Linked DNA regions of Kluyveromyces lactis. The protein of the gene in region 2 binds, or shares a complex with, the protein of the main gene of each other region. Links are inferred from orthologs where the notes say so. Each region holds a gene or a part of one and is shown on either strand. Other genes may lie near its edges.

The links. Proteins that work in one complex are often made in the same cells at the same time.
Region 1: PRP6 (region 2) and SME1 share a complex: the UniProt entries of both Saccharomyces cerevisiae proteins name them as parts of the U4/U6-U5 tri-snRNP complex. The link is inferred for Kluyveromyces lactis from reciprocal best matches to the Saccharomyces cerevisiae genes PRP6 and SME1.

Annotation. Positions count from the first base shown.
Region 1 is NC_006037.1:203,862-207,893, reverse strand, and holds SME1 (mRNA splicing protein SME1), read left to right. Parts: upstream 1-2,599; coding exon 2,600-2,881; downstream 2,882-4,032. Other genes in the region: mRNA transport regulator MTR10, read right to left, coding at 1-2,327; mitochondrial 37S ribosomal protein PET123, read right to left, coding at 3,162-4,032. UniProt on the Saccharomyces cerevisiae protein: Involved in pre-mRNA splicing. Binds and is required for the stability of snRNA U1, U2, U4 and U5 which contain a highly conserved structural motif called the Sm binding site. Involved in cap modification.
Region 2 is NC_006042.1:394,450-402,118, reverse strand, and holds PRP6 (U4/U6-U5 snRNP complex subunit PRP6), read right to left. Parts: upstream 4,509-7,669; coding exon 1,851-4,508; downstream 1-1,850. Other genes in the region: LYS14 (Lys14p), read right to left, coding at 1-1,446; PHO89 (Pho89p), read right to left, coding at 4,850-6,601. UniProt on the Saccharomyces cerevisiae protein: Participates in pre-mRNA splicing. Part of the U4/U5/U6 tri-snRNP complex, one of the building blocks of the spliceosome.

The DNA.
Region 1 (4,032 bases), on a different chromosome or scaffold from region 2:
TCATTACACATAAGGAAGAAGTCGTGAACCATTTCAAAGAATTTGTCTAATGTTTGCATTGACTTAAAATTATTGAAGAATGTAGAACATTGCTGACAGGCAAATTGCCACACTGCCTCTTTGACCTGTACATCGACAGGATAATATTCATCGTCACCATAAACGTAAATAATTGAACCAGAGAACCACAAATACGCTCCTAGACCACTTGTTGAATAACCTTTAGCCACAAATTCTGAGACCGCCGGAAGTATTGGTTGTGTGAATAGGTGGTATTTTTCGAAAACACGACGGAAGAATTTCATTGTTCTATCGACAATGATAACATTAGAGATCGCATATGCGTCCAATAAGTTAATTAACTTTGTAATATGTTCGGAAATAGAGGCAATTAACGGTTCTTCAACACCTTGTTCTGGATACTCGAATTTGGGGACAATGTTCTCCAAAATTGCATAAAGCAAATCAATATAGTGTGCAACTTTTGCAGAAAGATCAGGATCAGATGGGTTCGAGATGAATTGCTGAATGATAATGTCAAACCTCTTATTATGTTGGGAGGTGAATGAATTGAATATGCCACCAATCTTCGCTGTTTCCTGCTCATTTATGACAGAACTTAAGCCTTGACACATCTCAAACATAGAGTAGTTGTCAACTGCGCGTTCAATTTTCCAAATAAAATCCACTAACTGGCCACAATAATTAACAAGAAGTGACGAGCAGTCCTGACAGAAATACATTAATGCATTGGAGGCAGCAACAGAGAGATCATGATTTGATTGGCCTGCTTCAAATCCATTGAATATATAATTCAATTGGATTTCCAGTAGATCCTCATGTTTACTGGTCCATTCTGTGTATCTCGAGAATACGAGTATTGTAGAATAAACCAATTTGGGGTGAGTTAGTGGATGTATGCATAGTTGTTTGAAAAGTTGGGGTAGCACAACGTTTTCAGTATGAGAAATTTCATGAGCCATTGTACGAACAGCAAACAAGGCAGCCTCTAGTGGTTGCCAGACCGTGTTAGGATCTTCTTTCTGAAGATATTGGTTGATAAGATTATATGGTTGCTGCAATGCAACGGTTGAACCTAAGACAGCAGCACAAGACTTAAGTACATCACCAATGTTATACCTAAAATCTTTAAATTTATCTTCATCTTCCTTATTTTCAAAAACAGTTTCCGGATAATGCAAATGTGTAATCAAACCATTCGTTAAATTAATAAATACATCCTGATATTCTTTTCTTTGTTGAGCGTAACGTTGTAAAACTAACATTTGCCTCAAATTAAACCAAAATGGGAAAGTATACGAAACGATATCGAGGTCAGTGTTCTTGCAAGTTAATACCAAGATGACTTCAACCAATGGTTTGAATAAGGCAGGATTCTTTGCAAGAAAAACACACCACGCTTCGCCAGCTTCAACGAATAAACGTGTGAGTGGATCCATAATCTCTTCGTATTCTTCCCAGTCAGAAATGGTTGTGATTGGCAATAGCTTTTGTTGCAAAGCTAAAAGTTGCTCGTAAAGCGCATGTATGATTGTATCGTTGGCTGCGTCTCTCGTTTCTCTTAATAACACACATAAGCATTCTACTGCAGCTTCAAAAGAATCAGAATCAGTATCATATGAAGTATGCAAGACTTGGAACACGGTGTTTATCAATGGAGTCACTTGTAATACCTGTTCTATTGGAAATTCATAACACCACGATCCAAAGCACGAAATGATTTTAGAAGCAGATATGCCTTCAGTTCCGACTCTATCCAAACATGAAATCAAAAATTTCAATACGTCTTCTCCAATGTTATCTATAAGTTCGTGTGTTCTACACTCAAATTCATCTTGGGATAGAGGAGTGGATTTGATATCCAATGTTTCCTCTGGGAGAATCTTCAAAAACAGTAGTAACTTTCCCGGAAGACCATTTAGAGTATTAATAATTTCAACTAGCGGATTCCTCCAATCAAGATACTGAATGGTAAATCGGGCTAGTGCCACGTTCAACTGTGTTACTATGATCTTCTCTTCATACATAGCGATGAACTCAAAGAGCTTTCCCTTGAAACTCTCTAATTCGGTATTGACCTGGTTTAGATCATAGGTGACTTTGTTCACTAGAGTTTGACAAGCAAACATTTGCAACTGTAAGTTGTCTGCTTCATGCTTGCTTAATACTTCGAAGCAGATTTGCCATGCTTCTATGCTCTTTTGAAATTGCTCCAAAAATTGTAAAGCTTGTATCTTCTTCTCCTGTTCAGAAACACTTTGAGTACAAATCAATGCACTCTTGATATCTGGGATTTGATACAACATCAATATTGATCAATCACGTCGTTCTTGCTCAACGGTATCTGCTGTGGCAGTTTTTATGAGTTCCTTTTATAGTGCATAAGTAAGATCAAATGTTTTGGTTGATTCAATATATAAAATTTTTTTAATATGTTAACAATAATCCTATTAAACTAATATCAAACGAATTCAACATGGCACTAGTGACTGACATTAATAAAGGATAACTGCGATCTGATTATAGTTACACTAACATCGACCTTCAATACACCGAAAGATTCTAGAAAAAGTCTAAAATGTCCGGCTCTAAAGTAGGAGCTCCTATGGTACCTCCAATCAATTGCATATACAACTACCTTCATCATCAGACAACAGTAACGTTTTGGTTATACGAACAAGTACAGACACGTATAAGAGGCAAGATCAGAGGCTTTGATGAGTTCATGAATGTGGTAATAGATGACGCTTTCGAAATAGCTGTAGATCCGAAAAGTGGTAAAGAGAGCGATGATAAAGCAGTGTTTCTTGGGAGAATTATGTTGAAAGGTGATAATATAACACTTGTTGTGGCAAATTGATAATGCCTACTCAGAAAATGATAATAGGATGAAAGAAAGATGCTTAGAGTGTAGAAGCATTGATCGGACTCTGTCGTGTAATTATATAAGCCTGTATATTATAACGGAAAAATGAAAGGCACTGAAATTTCGATAACGGCGACAAGCACTATCAAGGCTAATAAAGATATATTGTTCGTAATCTTATGGATCTATTTACAATGTGTTGCTCAGATTGGGGAGAATACCTTAAGTTCATATGGTTTCTTTTGTGTCAGTGATATTATCTAAAAGATATATCTCAAAGGACAGAGTCTTTACGTTCTTCCGCTTGTTTAGTTAATTCATCCAATTTGGTATTAATTTCCTGGTTAAATTGTTCCATCTCACCAGATAAAAATTCCTTCACAATTGGCAAACCTACGTATTTGCCGTTGCCCAAAGTACCAAATAATGCATCCGAAATTTCACCTTCGTTTCTTGCTGTTTGTTGAGAAGTCGACAAAGACAACTTATTTCTTAATACATCTTGGTTGTCCGAGGCGAATGCCTTTTCTACACTGGCCACCAGTTGTTCTTCTGTCACAATGAAATGGTCTGCTGCATGACAAAGCTGTACCAAGTTGGCAAGTTTGCGTTCTTTAGCCTTGAATTCAATCAATTCCTTGTTGTGCTTTCTCTTCAAATCCAGAATTTCTTGCTCTTCGGCAGTCCTTTGTCTCATAAGCGGTTGATTCATAATGCCCTCCAATGTTGGAATGGTCAAGTTACTCGAACGTTCTTTGTTAAGCTCTTTCAATTCGGCTTCTCTCTGTTCTTGTAGTACCCTTTCTTTCTTCTTCAATAGCTCTTCCTGCTTTAATAATCTTTGTTCTTCGTTACGTAAAGACTCACTCAAATATTTTCTACGCAACTCTGCTTGATTCTGCTTCAATAACTGCTGTTCACTAGCAGCCGTAGTATTTTCACTCTTAGGTTTCACCGTGTTATAGATAACTTCCTCCACATCAATGAATTTCAATGGAGGTGGATTTCTATGAGATCCTTTTGGATGTTTGATACCCTTAGCATAACCGACACCATTGATACCCTTAGGCTTGGCTTCTTTGACTCTTTCAAGTATACCCGTTTGGTTCACAGTTGGATTTTTCAAGATTCGTCTCGTTGATGGA
Region 2 (7,669 bases):
AAAAGTCTCCATAACCTTAAACCAACATTTCGCGACATTTAGCACTTTTGATGAGTTTCCTGAATTGATCTTCTTGAAAAGTTCAGTGATACCTTTCAAATGGGACCTCCATTGGGAGTTCATTGTATAGATACAATCCCAAGTTAATAAAATGACAGTTAGGATAATAGGCTCAAGCTTATTAATGACGTTGGTTTCATTTTTAAACTGATCTCCGAGGAGTTGCAAACAATGTGATAAATAGCCGCAATACGCCTTTTCATCCTCCATTTTGTTTGATTTACGATGAACAATAGAGGCGCCCACAGCTAAAATCGCCGAGAGAAGATATGGTTCGTTCCTGCCGAATGACAGTAATATATCTCTAAGTGGATTATTTTGGTCTTGAAAGAAAGGTGTGATGGAATCCAAACAGTCATGGTAAAAGGTTCGCAGATATTTATCATGCAGACCACCTAGCTTGAATGATTCTAGAGATGTGTTGAAAGTGATTGTATTATCGACCAAAAAGGAGATTGGAACTGATGAAAACTCCGAAGCAGTGTTAAGCATTGGAAAGTTCAGATCTGGCAGATCTAAGTCGTTAAACTCAAGATCCTTTAATTCATCGCTAACCAAAGAGTCATTCAACTTCATACTAACAATGTCGTTGAGATTCTGAATCAAAAGATTGGCATCCATAGCGTTAATGCTACCTGCAGGTATGAGGTTTGGCAATCCTGAATTTACCAAAGAATCATTAACATGGCTATTCAGTGAGAAATTTGTTTCACTCTTCATCGTTGCATCATTCTTAACCTTTCCCTTCTCATCACCATCTTCAGTACATGTAGCGCATGCCCCTGCAGACTTGGGTTTTCTGGGTTTCCGTTTCTTATTCTTTGGATTCAATATATACACACACTTTCTATTCAACCTGGCACATTGCCAACAGGTCGGTTTGCCCTCGTCACATTTCATCCGTCTTTTCTTACACTCCAAACAACCATTTCTAGAATACTTACGCTTGACGATTTTCCCATCTGCATCTGTCGAGGGTGTTGCACCCGATGCATCTACGGAAGAGATTCCAGATGCAGGTGACATAGATGAACGATCACCTTGTAAAATATCAGAGATCGGCGATAGATTGGTAACTAGCACATCTCTTGGACTTGGTCCGATAGAAGTAGGTGTATTTTTCAACTGAACCGACTGAGGACTAGTGATTACGTGTTCAGAGGAAAGTCCAAGCAGAGTAGCAGTACTGGGCACTGAATGCGGACTTGGATGCGCTAGTAACGTCGAAGGAGACAGAATATGTCTGCTACTAGCTGGGAATAGTGGCGGCTGGCTTGCCCTGACACTTTGGGTCGGTGCTGGTGCCTCAGGTGCCGCACCTTGAGACACATACGATGCTGGAGTGAGACAATCCAAACTCTCATTGCGTCCCTTGCCGAACGACATACTTTTTCTGACCTATCAGTATATATATATAACTTCCCTGGTAAAAATGACGTGGACCTCGGCGGGTATTTAAGACTCTCAACAGCTGCTATCGATGTTTTTCACTTCACCTCCGATCCCTGTCGACTACCAATACTCTTCGCAATTTCGAAGTTCCATTTTGGTTGTTCGTTTTCAAATTTTCAAATTCCACTGGAAAAAGTTCTCTTTGATAGATATAAGAGCTGACTCTTTCATAGCAGAGAATCAGATCACAACGGAAAAATACACAGAACTGCCGCATATACTGGGTTAGTTACGATTGAGGAACGGAACTTCTGACAATGCGGAAAGTCAATTTACAGTCGCATCAGTGTTGTCCCAATTTTTATTATTACAATCTTACAATCTTACATTCTATCTAATTATTGGTGTAAATTGTTGATAATGCTGTGCAAAATATCAATCGGAGAGTTTGATATGTGTAGGTATGAGTTTACTGCGGGCTCCCATAGTATACCGTACCTGGGTTCATTTTCTTTCAATTTCTTTAACGTTTTTTCTTCATTTATTTGCAAATCAACTGGATTCATGCACGACTCGCAGATGTAGAGCCATACCCATGGGTCCCCAAATTGAAGATTATTTTCCGAGGCTCTTATGAACCATTTATATGCCTTCGCGTATTGGTGTTCCTTTTGGAACACTTTTCCGATCTCAGTTATCACCATTGGATGCTCTTTTGTAGCTTCGAGAGCATCTTGGAATGTGGTTTTACGTAGTGATTTTTTAGGAAGGGTTCTGATGTTTAGACACCAGAGCCTCCAGCTGTGTGGACACGCTTTGAGACCCTGAGCGATGAGGTACGTTACTTGTTTGTTATCTTTCACTTGCAGTTCCAATGTAATGAGAGCCTCGTAGAGTGTATCGGATTTTGGATTCTTTAGTAGAGAAACGCTGAGTATTGAACGCGCTTTGCCCCAATCTTGTGTTTCCATTACCAGTCTGGAGAACTCCAAGCACACTTCTGGATCATGATTAGAAATATCCGTAGCCCTCTGTAGCACACGCTTCGCTGATGAAAGGTCCCTTTGTTGCCTGTATAGCTGTGCTTTCAAGATTAGTAAATGTTTGTCGTTTGGTTCACGTGCCAAAGCTATATCAACAGTAGAATGAGCTATTTCCAAACTGCCTTTAGATTGCAAACACTTAACGTAAAAAGGAACTAATTTATCAATGCATTCTACCAAGTGTGATTCGGCTTCTTCAAAGGAATTTATAATCTCATCCAATTTGCCATCTCTGTTCAAAATTTTGAGTTTAGCCAACCAAAACTCAGGATACGCCGAATTTGTCACCAGAGCTTTATCTAAAATCGACAACGCTTCAGTGGAACCAGAACCCCAATCCCAAACGTCTTTCGCATACATTAAAACCAAGACAGGGTATTTCTTTACCGCTTGAGAATCTGTAAAGAGGATCTTCCTGAATGTTTCGTGTAGCTCTAATTTCCGCGAAAAGTCTTCGGCGAAATTGGTGAACTCCTTCCAAATAGAGTACTTTGTTGGATATTTGATTAGGAAGGAGGAAAACAAGGTACACTGAAGTGTGGTGTCGTTTACCAACAGCTTCGAGAGACTTTGGAAATTTGAGGATGCGTCTTCAAATAAGTTATTGATGGTAGCTGTGATGATTGCTTTCGCTGTTAATGGATACAATCCTTCTGTTGATATAGCGACTGCATTTTCGAACCACTCAGTAATAGTTGGATTAACTTCCAGTTCATGAAGATCCTTTATTGCGCTAGAAATGATATTTACCAACGTATCGAGATTTGCGGTCGTTCTTTTTTCTTCGAGTTGACATTTGAGAAGCCAGTATGTGATGTCTTTTTTAATATGTTCTTCAGCAGATTTCAAGGTGTCCACTGCAGATTCGACTGATTGTAACCTTATCAACTTCAACCATAACTGCGAATCCTTCGGCACTAATTCAACTGCTTTCTTCAAAATTTTCAGCTTTTCAAGAGTGGAAGTTTCAAGATTTACCGCCACTTCCCATAATATAGAGCTTAGTGGTAGTTTAATTAGAGCCTTTCGAGTGACTTTAATTTTATCAGTATTGTGTTGTTCGAGGGCGATTGCCTTCAACCACAACTGCTCACTAAACTCGTTGAGCCTTAAGGCAACTGTAACCAACCTCTTGCAATATTCTTTATCGGATGCGTTCATGCGTATCGATTCTAACCAGATAGCTTCACTTTTAGGGCACAGTTTACAACCTTCCGCTAGCAAACTTTTGGCTCGATTGAACTGATTGGCTCTTTCTTCGATTCTTGCTGAAGAAATCCAGTTTTCTGGATTTCTTGGATGGGATTTACGATACGCGGCTAATAGGGATCTGTTTTTCCTAATGTCTTCCAAATCCGTAGATGAAATAGTGTTGTCATCTTGGTTCATTCTATTCAAGTATTCAGCATCATCCGTAAGTTGACTTTTGCTGTAATCAAAACTCTTATCTATCTGGACAGCAAGTAACTTTTCCCTCTCTTCAGTTAACTTGGATAAGTTGACATTAACCTGGAACAAAGTGTCAGGAGCAGCGAATGTTTTCCTTTCAAGTTGTTCCTCTATTCGATTCCTTTTGTTTCGTCTGGTCATATCAGATGCGTCAGGGATATCCAGCCAGTCTTGCTCAGAAAGAGTTGCTAAATTACGCTTCAAATCTACAAATTTAGAAGATAGCTTGTCTGGTTCATCATCTGGCTTCGTCTTTAGGCTTGTTTCATTGTCGATAATTTTTTTATTCTTAAGTCGCTGTTCGATCTTTTCGTACACTCTCATCTCTTGTTCGTCTTCATCTTTAACCTGTTTCTCCGATGATTCATTCGAAACTGCTGATCTGTATCTATTTGGATTCTTTGTTACAGAAGTATCTGGTGCATCTCGCCCATATCTATTCAATCTAGCAGGAACTCTTTTATCATCTTTACTTCCTCTGGTGGAAAAGCCAACCGCTCCACGACCTATACCAGCGATGTAACCAGGTGGTGGAGATTGTTTTAGGAAACTGGGAGTCTCCATGCCTATCACCGTGATAGTTGTTTACTCAGATGATTTACTAGTGAATAGTTTACTGTATGAGATGTCCTTTCGATACAAATTTTAAAGGTTTTGTTTTTAAAGATATTCTACAGATTCTTAAAACAATAGAGAATAAGCGTTGATAGAAATAAATATCGATTCTGCTTAGAAAGAATTAAATATGCAGGCTAATATATGAGGAAATTTGCAGAATCTATAATACCGAATATGTTCTATATTTGTAGCAGATAAACTATTATCTAGCTAGTGCACAAACAATTAATTAATGAAAGTTCCTAAAAGGCGCTGAGGCCATGAGAAAGAAAATATCAATCTGATGATTATGATAATTGGTAATCTCCACCGTAACGTGGTGCGTTCAAGATGATACCGTTCAAGATACCTGCAATGAGACCAGCCATTGGAAGAGTTAAGAACCAACCACTGTAACAGAAAGCGACCATTCTCCAGTTAACGGATTTCAAATCCCTGTTACAAAGACCAACGGCCACAATACCACCGACAGCAACTTGAGTAGTAGAAACAGGAATACTTAATTGTGTTGCCATAACAGTGGTAACAGCAGCACCAAGTTCAACGGAGAACCCTCTGGATGGAGATTGCAAAATCATCTTGTTACCCAAGTTCTTGATGATTCTGTAACCGTATGTCCAACAACCGAGGACCAATGCAGCGGCACAGTATGCTAAAACCCATGTGTGAACGTCAGACTTAGATTCCACAGTGTTTTTCTGCCAGATGTCATACACGGCAGCTAGTGGTGCAGTGGCGTTGGCAACATCATTGGCACCGTGAGCAAAAGACATAGTGGCGGCGGTAATAGCTTGCAAGATAGAATAGATGAATTCGATTCTGTTGTCATAGAAGGCAGATCTCTTGTACATGTCCTTGAAATCTGTTGACAAAGCACCTGTATCGTAGACCTGAGAATGAATAACATCTTGAGTCCAACCGTGAGAAGCAATCAACCAAAGTAATAGAGGCCACTTCTTTGGTCCTTGTTTTAGCAATGACCACCATAGCTGTTTGGTAGTTGGTTTTTCTTCTTGCAAAGTTTCTGTTTGCACCAATTTGATACTTTGGTTGACAGATTCCTTGTCGTTAATTTCAATATGTCCCTCTACAGTATCTCTTCCATCGGCGGTGTGGGAAGTTTCAATTTGGGTTTCATCATCTCCGGCAGTTTCATCTTCGAATCTTCTACCTTCGTAGTAATCAATGGTTAAAGATTGTCCAGCAGGTAGAGGTGGAATGTCGTCAGTGGACTTGAAGTAGAAAGTTGGGCCTCTGTAAATATCATACCATTTTAGGGTCCAGTCTCTGTGCAAGATTCTTCTTCTGTAGTATGGGTACAAGAAGATGAAGTAAACAGCACAAGCGACTAGACCAGTAAGAACAATAGCCAATGCGGTAGTTGTGCCAGACAATTTATCCAACTTCAAGTTTGGAGAACCCTTCCAAACGATCAACATAGTCAACACCGAGAAGGTAGCGAACACCAAAAATCCGACGAGTAGTAAAGCGTTCTTAATAGCTTTTTCAATTGGCTTAACATCCAAGACCAGGAACTTGGAGATCAAGAAAATAATAGTGACCAAGCAACCGGCTAAGATTGGAGCAATAAACCAAGAAGCAATAATTTGAGAAACACCACCCCAACCCCATTGGACACCCTTGGCACCACCGGCAGCAATACCGGCACCGATGGTACCACCAACGATAGAATGAGTCGATGACACTGGCATACCAATAGATGTCGCAATTGAAAGCCAAGTGGCAGAACCGACAAGAGCACATGCCATAGTTAACATTAACACAGCTGGATCATCTTCGAAAGGTGAAGCAGAAATAATATTGTTCTTGATGGTACCAGAGACTCTAGCACCCGCTAAGACAGCCCCCAAAAATTCACATAAAGCAGCAAGGATCATAGCCTGCCAGTATTTCAAGGATCTAGATGAAATAGAGGAAGCAAACGAGTTGGCAACATCATTGGCACCAATATTGTATGCATCCAAGAATGCAAAGAGCATTGTAATGGCAAAAATGTAATCAAACTGTTGCAAAGCCATTTTTGTTTAGTTTGTTTGCACTGATGTGTTATTAGATCTGAATTTTGATCAGCGTTTAATTTGCACGTATTTTCAAATATTAGAAAAGAAAAGGAAAAAACGCCTATAGGACAGATGGTTTGACTAATTTATGCTTGTTCTGTTGCTTTCTTTGGTAGCTAGCTTCAAAATGGAAGTTAAATAGATGCTGCTGATGAGTACACTTGCTCCCTGGTGCAATGTTCGCTTGCCTTTTATAACTAAAAAAAATGAAAGGAAAAAAAAGAACCCTGGTGGGGTCCTTACGAATTAAATTAACAACTTTTCAGCACTACTTTCTCCCATGCAGACAGTAATAATCATAAAATAAACGTGGGCATCAATCCATCCCAACTTTCCCATCCTTCCATGTATTAAAATTAACAACCTAATGCTACAGAACACAGGTAGTATTCCAATACTCAAAACATTCCATTGATCACCAAAACTCTTACTCTTTCGCACAGTAACTACAGTGCAATGTCTCCACCTCGTAGAAACGATAGTGAAAGAGGTTGTCCAATATGGTAGGAGTATAGACAGTCTTTCGTATCTAACTCATCGATGTCAGAAAACAAAAGAAATTACTACCTTTTGATTCTCTTGAATGTTGAAAACACAACGGAAACGCAGAAACAAAGGCAGCAAAAACCTAAGGGTTCTCAGGGTCTACTGCACTATGAAGGATCTTTTCTTAACTAGAAGAAAAAACACATGGAAACTGTGCAAACTGTGCCATTTGCTTGCTAACCAGACGCTACAAAAACGATGCAGTCAGTTCCGATAATCATGGCTCAGCCCTTTAGGGTCCTGCCCGATTTGAAGGAACGTCATGACGAAAGCCGTACCACCGTTGCTGCAGTCACACGTGTTTCCTGTGAAATATAAATTATTATCCATCTATTTTCTTTTCCTCCTACAGTCATTTCTTCAGTTTTGAATTGGTTTCTTCAGCACGTGCCACGTGCCCACTGCCATGTATTAATTTATCACTTTTTTTTTATTTTAAGTGTTCACAGGGACCAGTGAATGAGAACACGAAAAGAGTCA